Arabidopsis thaliana: one gene and its partner. The protein of the gene in region 2 purifies or fractionates together with the protein of the main gene of each other region. This does not show direct contact. Each region holds a gene or a part of one and is shown on either strand. Other genes may lie near its edges. The genes, in order: POP2 and MSD1.

Region 1 (6,071 bases), 4.4 Mb from region 2:
AGAAAATGGAAGGGATAAGCCATATCGCACTCCCTGTTCTTGGAATCGTCGCAGTCTCGGTCGTAACATTCTATGCCGTTAGCTTTGCCGAGATCAGAGAGGTTCACTGTTATGAAACTACTCCTTATTCTCAACATTTTTGATCTTTTACATATAATTTTAAGAAAAAATCAAGTGTGTGTGTGCAGAAATCGTTTAAAGATGTGTACGACTCGGAGAACGAAGTTGGGTTCAAGACTTCTCTAAGTTCAAGGGAGAGAAGATCAAAGAGAGAAGCAAACAAAAAACGTCCTAAATCTTGATTCCAAAAATCACCATGATCCATGATCGTTTTGCTTTTCAATGTTCGTACAAATAAACAATTCAAAAGAGTTTGGTTATTGTTAACTATGGCTGCATTTTTGGTTTAGTAGATGATCTTGATCACATCGTCAGATGTTGTCCCATTATTGTTTATTCCTCATTAAAATGTACTTATTTAAAGACTTGTTGTGTGTTAAAAAAAAAAACAAAGGATCCAAACTTTGAGAATCTAAAAAACATTTTTCATCAACATCATTTTGACTCTGCTTTTCACTTCTTGTGCTGAGCCTTGAGTTCTTTTACCTTCTCTTCCGTTGCCTTCAATGCTTTCCCATAGATAGAAATCAACTATAAAAGAGAGAGAGAGAGTTTCAGTGAATTGGTCACAAGATTTAGCAGACAACAGCAATATTTATGTCTCAAGATTGGGACATTTACCTCATCAATCTCTTCAGGTGAGATAATGAGCGGTGGAGACATCAAAATGCCATCACCTGCAACACGGACTAACATCCCGTGCTTCTGGCACTCGGCTCCAAAGAATGCGCCAACACCTGTAAACATCAATTGAAACAATGGTGTAGAGATTAGTATGGTAAATGAGTTTTGGAGAAGAGAGACTTTTTAATGTTTGGTCATGAGAGTGATTTCTTTTACCCCATTCTGGTGGAAATGGTTCGTTCGGAGATTTATTGTCTACAAACTCAGTCCCAAGAATCAAACCTGTTCCTCTTGTCTGATAACCATCACAAAATGTCCTCAGTCAAATAATTCTTATTGAATAAAACTGGTAAGTAAAGGACCAAGAGAAATGGTAACCTCTCCAATAATAGGACTACCAGAGGCAAACGCTTTAACTCCATCTTGAAACCTTGGGGCAACTTTGGCGACATACTCTGGTATGTTCCTCTCCCTGTAATATGAATATGATCGTCACAAAAAAGTGCAGTAAGAATAGAGAAGCGAGAAACTTAGTCAACTGTGTGACAGGTTTTGATGTTTTTGGCAAATTACAATCTAAAAACTGGCTCACTTGTATGCAAAGTGACAAACTTACTTGTATATCTTTAACGCTTCAATTGCTACAGCACACGAAACTGGATGACCAGAATAAGTAAATCCATGGGAGAAAACGCCTGAAATAGAAACGTTTTCACCAGCATATTAAGATCAGAACATTGGAATATAACCAGTGTGAACATTACCAAAATACTGTACCTAGCTTGCTGCTATGAGAATTTATGACATCTGCCACTTCTTGGCTCATAAGAATGGCTCCAATCGGCATATATGCTGAAGACAGTGCCTGTATATTGGAAACATTTACAACTTGTCAGGGGAAATTTGCCAACAGAAAAAAACTACTAATCATCTTGCAAAATCTCACCTTAGCTAAGGTCACAAGATCTGGCTTAATGTTGTATTTGTCACAGCCAAACATTGTCCCGAGCCTTCCAAATGCACATATCACCTTAAAGACCAAACAAAATAAAAACAGATAATGATAAATCTTCTTCTTGATGGATACTTGGGGTCATGATCCTGTGTGGACTGATGGTAAACATGGTTCAATAAGACATGCACATACCTCATCAGCAATGAACAAGATATCATATTTCTTAACAACAGCTTGAACCTGCAGTACAGAAAGAGAAAACACACTCGGATAAACAAAATGAAACGGCAAAAAGAGCCCAATATCATGCTATCAGTACCAACAAAGTTTCCGAAAATGACCTTTTCAAAGTAGGTAGCAGGTGGAGGTATCACACCCCCAGCACCCATGACTGGTTCAGCTATAAAAGCACCAATCTATTAAGAAGACGCTTTCTGTTAGACTAATCTGGTTCTGCTAGTAGCATAAAGACAAGAATTTTCGTAAGTAACTATAGAAGTTTACAGTTTCTGGTCCTTCTTTGATGATTAGATCCTCTAAATTCTTGGCTAATCTGGTTGAGAACTCCTCTTCCGTTTCGCCTGAACAAGCAATTCAAAGGTTATAATAACAGATACTTTTACTGTTTGAAATGGCAGTGAGGATCATTCATACCTGGAAGATGAAAACGCCAATAATGAGGGCAATCTGTGTGCAACACAAATGGTGCAGGTAAATCAAAATTTTGGTGTAGCGGGGGAAGGCTGGAACAACAAACTAACTTTGTTAGGGAAAAGAAGGAATCTTTAGCACTTCTAGAAAGAACATATGAGGAACAATATTTATCCTACCCGGACAAACTTGCTGATATTAGAGTGGAGCCATGGTACCTGAAATGATAACATTGCATTTGTAAACACTCTGAGATCTTATAAAAACAGACAAATGGAAAAGGACAAGCAAAAATCATTACTCACGATTTCTTTCTCGCGATAAACTTTTTCTTCTCGGGCCTTCCAAGTGCGTTATTGTAATACCAAACCAGCTTGACCTGCATTATATATACAGGAAATTCATAAACAACTCTTATAGGTCGAAAACTTAGAAAATACGAGATCAAGGTTTGAAGTATAGTTATGGAAACCTGGGTATCGTTGGCATCTGATCCACCGCTTGTAAAAAATGCTTTGGCCATTTTGTTGGCCGTGAACATCTCTAAAAGAACCTTAGCAAGATCCTGTTTAGTATGAAAACATCACATTGCTCAAATTCTCTTTGATATCTCATAAAGTATACTGCTCTGAGTCTTAACAGGACACAGAGAGTAGCAGGAAATTGTAGGAAAACATTATAAAAATGACACCAAAAGGGAAAGTCTGGAGTACCAGAGAAGGTTTAGTAGTACGGTTCCAAAAGGAGTGATAAAACGGCAAGGTGTTCAACTGTTCAACAGCGGCAGAAACAAGCCTTGGCTCATTTCCTCCTGCAAGGTTTTGGGTTAACAATGAGGGTCAGAATCAAGGAATACCAAACTGCAGAAAAAGAAACATCAATTCATGTTTAGTAGTATTAGAAGGAAGAATACCTAAGGCAGTACACCATAAACCAGCGAGAGAGTCAAGATATTTTTTCCCAGTATCATCATACACATAACTTCCCTGTAAGAAAAACGTCACACTTACACAACTGTTTGACTCAACATTTACACTATGAAAATGAGATTTTGACATGTACCTCAGACTTTGCAATGACCAAGGGATCTAAATCAGCACTCTGCCATCCAGCAGTAAAAGGTGCAAGCATATCATGCCCTTTAGACCTGCTCAGAATAAAAACATCACCACTATTCATGTCTCGTTGACGACGCTATAAAGCCTTCAGAATACAACGCTTAGAAGCATTAAAAAATAACTCACCCAACAGTGTTTTTCTTCTCAGGTGCTGCCTCAGTAGTGAAAATCCTCCTGGAAGTGGAGTTCCCAGACATGCAAGTGGCATACTTACTGTGCAAATGAACCTGCCATTAGAGTAAAAATATTAGCACTATAAATCACATCACTGTTTTTGGGTTAGGATATAATGATCTCCACAGAATTTTCTTCAAATTTATCTCTTTGTTATAAGAAGATTATCATTCACAACAAGAGATTTGTTCCACTTTATGAGAAAAAGTTTGTTCCTTGATTACTGGAGAATCTCAGAAAAGTATATACTCTCGAAAAGACATGACCTTTTTCATCCTGATCCACGTCAATTTGGCGTTTTGAAAAAAGATTAGATTTTTATTTACAATTGTTGGCATATTCAATGTTATTCTGACTCCTGATCTATTAAGCAAAACATTCGGGGAAAATTATGATGATGCAATCGAGGATCATGTATGTGAGAATAATGAGATCATCAAGCGAGTAAGAAGAAGTGGAAGAACCTGAGTGGTACGCGCCAAGCGTCGGAGACTGTTGATAACGACCATTTTCTCCTACAACGGATCGAAGAAAACAGAGAGAGAGAGATTGTTAAAGAGAGGATCAAAGGAGAGGAATCTGAAGAATCCTGGATTGTTTGAGAGGGAGAGCTGAGATTGGTTACAAAACAGAGGATGATGAATTGATGATGATGATGCCTTATATCTTTTTATTTATTTAATCTTTTCGAGTTCCATTTGATTTTTTCCAGTGACGTGTCATTGAGTCATTTTCTTAATATTATTTTTGATTTATTTTATTTTAAAGGGAAACAAATCATTTTGCTGCTCTCTCACAGAGATAATAATAATAGGTTGTAACTGGTGCAGTAGTAGCAAGGGAAAGAAAAAACAAATAAGAGGCTAGTTGTATATAGCAGCCATACCATAAAAATATCAATTAAAATTTTATTATATTTTCTGCTGAAATAAATAAAATGGAGAAATATAGTAAAAAAAATCACTCCAATTTGAAGAAAAAAAAATTATGTCTCGATGTGGAACACATTTTAATACACTTCTTCCCTCGCGTTTAGAAATGGACATCTGAAACGTTAAGGTTATGGGACTGGACATCTATATATGGTTCACAATCGAGACACATTAAAACTTTAGGTTTATAGCATATTAGTATGAGCCTAACTCATACTTAAAAATTACTTCAAGTGGAAATTTTACCATATATTTATATATTATTCTATACATAAATAAAATTTTATGTAGGACATATTCTAATAACTTTTCTTTGTGTGTTTGTTTTTATCTTTTTATTTTTCATTTACTAAATAAAAACACCAACTAGGCCAACCCAACTAACAGAAAAAGTAGCCAAATTTGATGGCATATTTCAATTTCTAAGGAGGGATAGTAGGAAAAACTGGAGTAAAAATTATTTTAATATACGAGTTTCCATAAGATTATTACATAACCATGTGATAGTTGTTACGTCTAACAAAAGTAAACGAAAAAATAATAATTATCTTTAATTTAGATTAAAAAAGATACTAATAATGATCCAACATTACAAAAACTAGTGACATCATATAATTAGGTGACACGTCAACTTATTTTGTCTTCTCCATTCAAAATATCAGACTGCAAACAAGACTTACACACATAAATGCATGCATTAATTAAAAAAGAGAATCAAACATATTTCAAACTAAAACTGCGTGCCGTTTCGAGGTCAAAAAACGCCGCCAAATTGAAGAATAGAGCACGCGTACGGCGTGCAATCTAATCTATCATTCAATCAATCGTATCTGAGAGAGGAGAGGGAAAACGAAACGATCAATCAAGTCAATTCCTATCTATCTGTATATGTTCGTTCACACACATATCCCCTAGAGAGAGAATAAAGTATGGACCTTTTTCTTTTTGTAGAGTAGAGAGAGAGAGGAAAAAGTAAAGTAGCCGAGAAAGACGCTCACTGACTGAAGAAGAAAAGATCACGAAGTCGCCACTCACTCTCTTTAAAGATCTCATCGGCGATCTTTCCTTCGCCGCCGGTGTAAAGTTTTTGAATTTTGCTTCTCCTCGATGTGTCTCAATTTTGCAAAGTTTGGATTTTTTGTTAGTGTTCATTACTAAATTTCTTGGTTTTAATATTAAGGATCCAACATTGTCAGGAGAATTTAGTGAACTCAATTAAAGTTTCCATTTTTGTCTATTTTGTTATCAAAAAGGAGAAAGCTTTACTGTTTTGAATAATTTAGTTGCTAAATTGGCAATTTTGCAGGTTTTGTGTTGTTTTATGTTGCTGATCGTTGGAATTGAGATAGAATGGGAGCTTCAGGGAGATGGATTAAAGCATTGGTTGGTTTTACTAAATCTGATAAGTCTAGGTCTTCCAAGAAAGATGAAAATGTGAGTACTTCAAAGGAAGATTATTACAAGAGTTTCTTTCTTTTTGTCTTAATTATGCCAATG
Region 2 (4,712 bases):
TTCTTACTTCTTTCTTTTTTTGTTCTTTAGAGATTCTTTGATTTTTCGTTTTCAAATAGAGATTATTGTAAATGTTACATGTATTACAGAAATTTACAGTAGAAGTTTAGGAAAAATGAGGATTTTATTTGGTAATGTAAGTCGAAATGATCAAGACTTAGACTATCATCTTGTATCGTTTCATCAATATTTCTTTGATAAACGTTAATCAGCTTTTTAATTTCTATGATTATGTATCAATTTTATTTAGACTAAGAAAGTCTTTTAAGTTAAACGCATAAAAGAGTCAAGGATACCATTTGAATTGACATTGTATTAGTGTTTGGGTAACTTCCAAGAAAGAGATAAAATTAAAAGATAAGAATGGGGCCAAGGCGTAAAGAATCAAAAGTTAGGCGAAATATGTATAAATTGAATTGAACGCGTTTTTTATGAGACTTGACTATGATCCATTTTCCACAACGCAGACACAAAGATAATGCATTTTTATTACACAAGTGTGTATGCATTATTTCACAAATTTCATTAATCCCAAATTTCTTCGTTATAATATTCCTGTCATATATGTGTCGAGTAGTGAAAAACGAGAAAATTAGTTATTGTTTTATTGAAATGAGGTAATTATTATACCAATAAGATTCCGTTTTGTTTTCTTCGTAGAATAAACAATAGCGCTTTCTGACAATAATAGCAAATTTTTATTCTTGAAAACTTTCATTGTAAAACAACGTACCACACAGCTGAGTTGAGCAAATCTTAAAAACCAAAGAGACACTGTAAGTTTGTTTCAGACAACCTTAAAACAAAAGCTGAGCTGGAACTGGTTCATCTCCTTATGTCATCGTGTAAACGATTCAGTTGTTTTCCTTCTCATAAACCTCGCTTGCATATTTCCAGTTGATCACTTTCCATACATTCTTCAGATACTCAGGCCTCACATTTTTGTACTGAATGAGAGAATACAGATTGATTAGAGAGCTTAATCTTTTAAGCTAACTCATGAGACTTAAGGTATCAAAAGTGTTGTTACCTGCAAGTAGTAGGCGTGCTCCCAAACATCTATACCCACCAGAGGTACCAAGCTTCCTCCTTTTGTCACTAATGGATCCTGCACCAACCGAAACAAACTCTTTTTCTTTAAAACCCATTATTCTCACAGATGTTCATGAGTACCAAGAAATCTTTTGAACATATTCAATAGCGCATTCCTGATCATGGATAAGTTACCTGATTGGCAGTTGTGTCAACAACTAGCTTCTTCAGTTCTTTGTCTAGTCCGAGCCACTGAATTAATCAACAGAAACAAGCGAATCAAGGACCATGGTTATTATACGTAAAGCACCAGAGTCGACAATGTGAGCAGATGAAATAAAAAGGTGAAACTAGACTACAGACCACCCATCCTGAGCCTTGCACTGCAGCACCCTCAGCACTCATCTTTTTCACCAGACCTTCAAGGGAGCCAAAGTGAGCGTCAATGGCACTACCAAGAGATCCTTTTGGTGGCTCTCCACCACCTTCCTGTTATACATTAAAACAAACCATCAATTACAGAACAACAAAATCGAAGAAATACACAGAAACTCAAAACACAAGCTCACACTGGAAGGAGCAAGGTTCTTCCAGAAAATCGAATGGTTGACATGACCTGCACGTTAGAAATAAAGTCGATCAATTCCCATTCTCTAGCACACAAAAAACTCAATTTATTTCCAATAGTTTCTCTGCCAATTTCTCTTCTATCAATCCAACCGGTCCGGAGCTCAAGAAGCAACAATCCTAATACCAAACTATAGTCATCAAAATTAATCAACAGCTTCAATGTTCCTAACAAAAGTTCTATACTAAATCAACTGGTTATGATCTCAAGACCCAGCAAACAAAAGTAGCTATCTAAGAAAGCTTGCATTACCGATAAAAGTTTCATTGATTCTTACAGAAGTTTCATCCCAATTCATCAAAATTACTCATCAGCTTCACTGTTCAAACCAAATTTCTCTCCTAAATCAACTACTTCATTTGCTAATATCATCCAAACACGATCTAAACACAAACCAATCGATCAAACACATAGAAATCGAGATCGTAAAAAAAAAAAAAAAAGAGAGTCAGACACACAAACACACCTCCGCCGTTGAATTTGATGGCGCTCTGCAACTTAACAACAGTGGAAGCATCTCCCTTGTTCACAGCTTGATCAAGCTGCTCAAGAGCATTATTGTAATTAGTAACATAAGCCTGGTGATGCTTCTGGTGATGAATCTGCATGATCTCTCCACTAATGGCCGGTTCCAATGCGCCATAATCGTAAGGAAGATCAGGAAGCGTAAAAGTCTGAATCCCTCTGATCCTCAATAGCCTCGATGATGTCTCCTTCAAGCCGGCTAGGGTTTTTCTACTCGCTACACAACGAATCGCCATTGTTGGAATGAAGATTTGTTTCTCCTTCTAGTGGTCGCCAAAAATGAACATGTGTATAAGTGGAGGGTTATGATAATATCACTGCCTGTCATGTATAGAGAAAAGTGACTGTTTTGACACGTAGACATGTGATTTTTATTTATGGGCCGTAATATTGGATTAGTGAGCCCAAGGCCTTAATATAATAAAGCGTAATTTTTAATATTTTGTGACGGCTAAATGTTACTTTTTTGTTTGTTCACAGGAAAAAAATAAAGAAATGAAGAAAGTTGACTAGAAACGGAGAATTTCCAAATGTTGAATTTGTTGGATGCATGTGAAAGCCAATTCTATTTGGTTCCTCCTTGATAATCCACCCAATCGCTGTCATTCTCCCATCAATCTAGCTGCTTTCACAAACCATTGTACTGAGATCGTATCTTTAAGGTAAATTTCAAATCGGAGTCGGCGAGATCGAAATAGGAACCTGGAAGTCGGAGAATTTGTGTAAATTCGGTTTTTTTTTTTTAATTCTCCGATGGATAGTTTAAGTGATATCGATGGTGATTTCGATGGAAGAAATGAAGGAGGATCGTCATCGGATTATCGATTGTTGGGTCGGCAGATTACGGTTCATCAGTTCATGGGTGGTGGCAAAGGCGAGTTCTTTTTTCCAGAATTTGTGTTTTTTCATCATTTTGGTAGTTTGTGATGAGAATTTTCTCGGATTTACAGAACAGAAAATTCAAATTGGGGATGATAGTTGGAATAGTTAGGGTTTCTGATTTTGGTTGGTTGTGAAAATCGTCATGTGTGTAAGTACATTTAGCATTTTGGGTATAGTAGAAAATGGAAAACTTGGCAGGTGAAAGTTAGGTTTAGGTTTGATTTTGAATGAGAAATTGATTGATTCAAATCTCTGGATACGCATGATGAGTTCATAGGTCCAGCAAAAAGCTACTGTTTGTGATTTTTGTATGGCTTTGTTCTTTGATGTAGCTGCTGACTTGCTCTTATGGAGGAGGCGACATCTTTCTTTGGGGGTTATCATTATATCAACTGTAGCCTGGCTTATATTCGAGTTTTCCGGGTTGCCTTTCTTATCTGTTTCTTCGGATGTCTTACTCATCGTGATCATGATATCATTCGTTCATGCCCGGGTTTCTGCTTTTAGGAATAGGTGCGCTCTACTTTTCACTAGTCTTCTTTTTCTTAATTCTTTGCTGTTATGTGACTGATTAGTGATGATTTCTACCTGTTATCTCTTTATAAGCAGACAGTTGCATTCGTTGCCAGAGCTTGTTCTATCAGAGGAAATGGTGAATAGTGCTGCAGCTTCTTTCCGTATAAAACTCAATCACTTGCTTGTAATGGCTCATGATGTCACAGTTGGCAACGATTTTCGACTCTTCTTCAAGGTTATGAAGCTAACCCATTCAGAAACTCACGATGATGTTGAGTGAAATGACATGGGAACCGTTAAGCATCTGAACTGTTGGTCTGACGATTTTTCTTTAGCAGGTGGTGATTTGTCTGTGGCTTCTCTCTGCCATTGGTAGCTATATATCTCTCTGCACTCTTCTTTACATCGGTTAGTAACTTGATCCTTAAATGCAAATGAAAGGAAAAAGCTTCTATGTTTTTTGATCCTTCAGTTTCATCCCCCACGTTGGCTTGTTGATCTCGTTTTAGTTCCTGCGACATTGTTGTTTTAAACTCAGTGAACCAAATTCTTATATGAAGTTTATACTTTTTATGGTGTGAACAGGGACCATCCTATCTGTAACAATACCGGCTTTGTACAGTAAATATCAAAGCAAAGTAGACAAGTGTTGCGGGACGATTCACAGGCGGTTGTCTCACCACTACAAAATAGTAGACGAAAATGTTATAAGCAGACTCTCATGGAGCTTATCCAAGGATAAAGATTCATGAGCTTAACTTTGGTGATTCTGAGAATGCTTTTACTTGTTTTTGTTTAGCTTTTCTTGTTATTCACCATTTGTAGTATAACTAAACGCCATATCCAGAATGAATATAAGATGGTTTCTTTGTTCAACTAAATTAACTCTTGCCTTCGTCTGAAGCTTAACACCACTGGAGGAAAAAATACAAAAAAAGTTTAACACCGCTGTTCGTTAAACGACGTCGTGGCGCAGAACAATACTCACATTTCAGATGGATTTGACTAGCCCAACTTTAATGCCCATATGCTGAGAATGTTAGGTCACGTGTTCACGTCACAGAAGAACCTCACTTACACAATTTAATCGGACTTGCTACAAATATGACGTCAGGAAAAGAAAAACAGT

Evidence for each region.
Region 1: the proteins of MSD1 (region 2) and POP2 fractionate together in Arabidopsis thaliana (co-fractionation; one large-scale study listed by BioGRID). This does not show direct contact.

The regions. Positions count from the first base shown.
Region 1 is NC_003074.8:7,833,366-7,839,436, reverse strand, and holds POP2 (Pyridoxal phosphate (PLP)-dependent transferases superfamily protein), read right to left. Parts: upstream 4,294-6,071; 5' UTR 4,152-4,293; coding exon of another isoform or gene 4,107-4,151; 5' UTR 3,981-4,106; coding exon 3,909-3,980; intron 3,696-3,908; coding exon 3,595-3,695; intron 3,498-3,594; coding exon 3,413-3,497; intron 3,337-3,412; coding exon 3,264-3,336; intron 3,162-3,263; coding exon 3,064-3,161; intron 2,916-3,063; coding exon 2,823-2,915; intron 2,730-2,822; coding exon 2,656-2,729; intron 2,569-2,655; coding exon 2,530-2,568; intron 2,443-2,529; coding exon 2,354-2,442; intron 2,281-2,353; coding exon 2,204-2,280; intron 2,116-2,203; coding exon 2,041-2,115; intron 1,940-2,040; coding exon 1,892-1,939; intron 1,775-1,891; coding exon 1,691-1,774; intron 1,610-1,690; coding exon 1,522-1,609; intron 1,440-1,521; coding exon 1,361-1,439; intron 1,217-1,360; coding exon 1,123-1,216; intron 1,040-1,122; coding exon 961-1,039; intron 858-960; coding exon 742-857; intron 654-741; and 4 more. Other genes in the region: AT3G22210 (uncharacterized protein), read left to right, coding at 6-101, 189-302; IQD5 (IQ-domain 5), read left to right, coding at 5,925-6,008.
Region 2 is NC_003074.8:3,415,724-3,420,435, reverse strand, and holds MSD1 (manganese superoxide dismutase 1), read right to left. Parts: upstream 2,497-4,712; 5' UTR 2,422-2,496; coding exon 2,127-2,421; intron 1,649-2,126; coding exon 1,602-1,648; intron 1,522-1,601; coding exon 1,396-1,521; intron 1,285-1,395; coding exon 1,228-1,284; intron 1,109-1,227; coding exon 1,031-1,108; intron 948-1,030; coding exon 855-947; 3' UTR 544-854; downstream 1-543. Other genes in the region: AT3G10930 (uncharacterized protein), read left to right, coding at 1-208; AT3G10915 (Reticulon family protein), read left to right, coding at 2,732-2,847, 2,980-3,059, 3,400-3,580, 3,677-3,818, 3,922-3,991, 4,169-4,335. UniProt on the Arabidopsis thaliana protein: Destroys superoxide anion radicals which are normally produced within the cells and which are toxic to biological systems.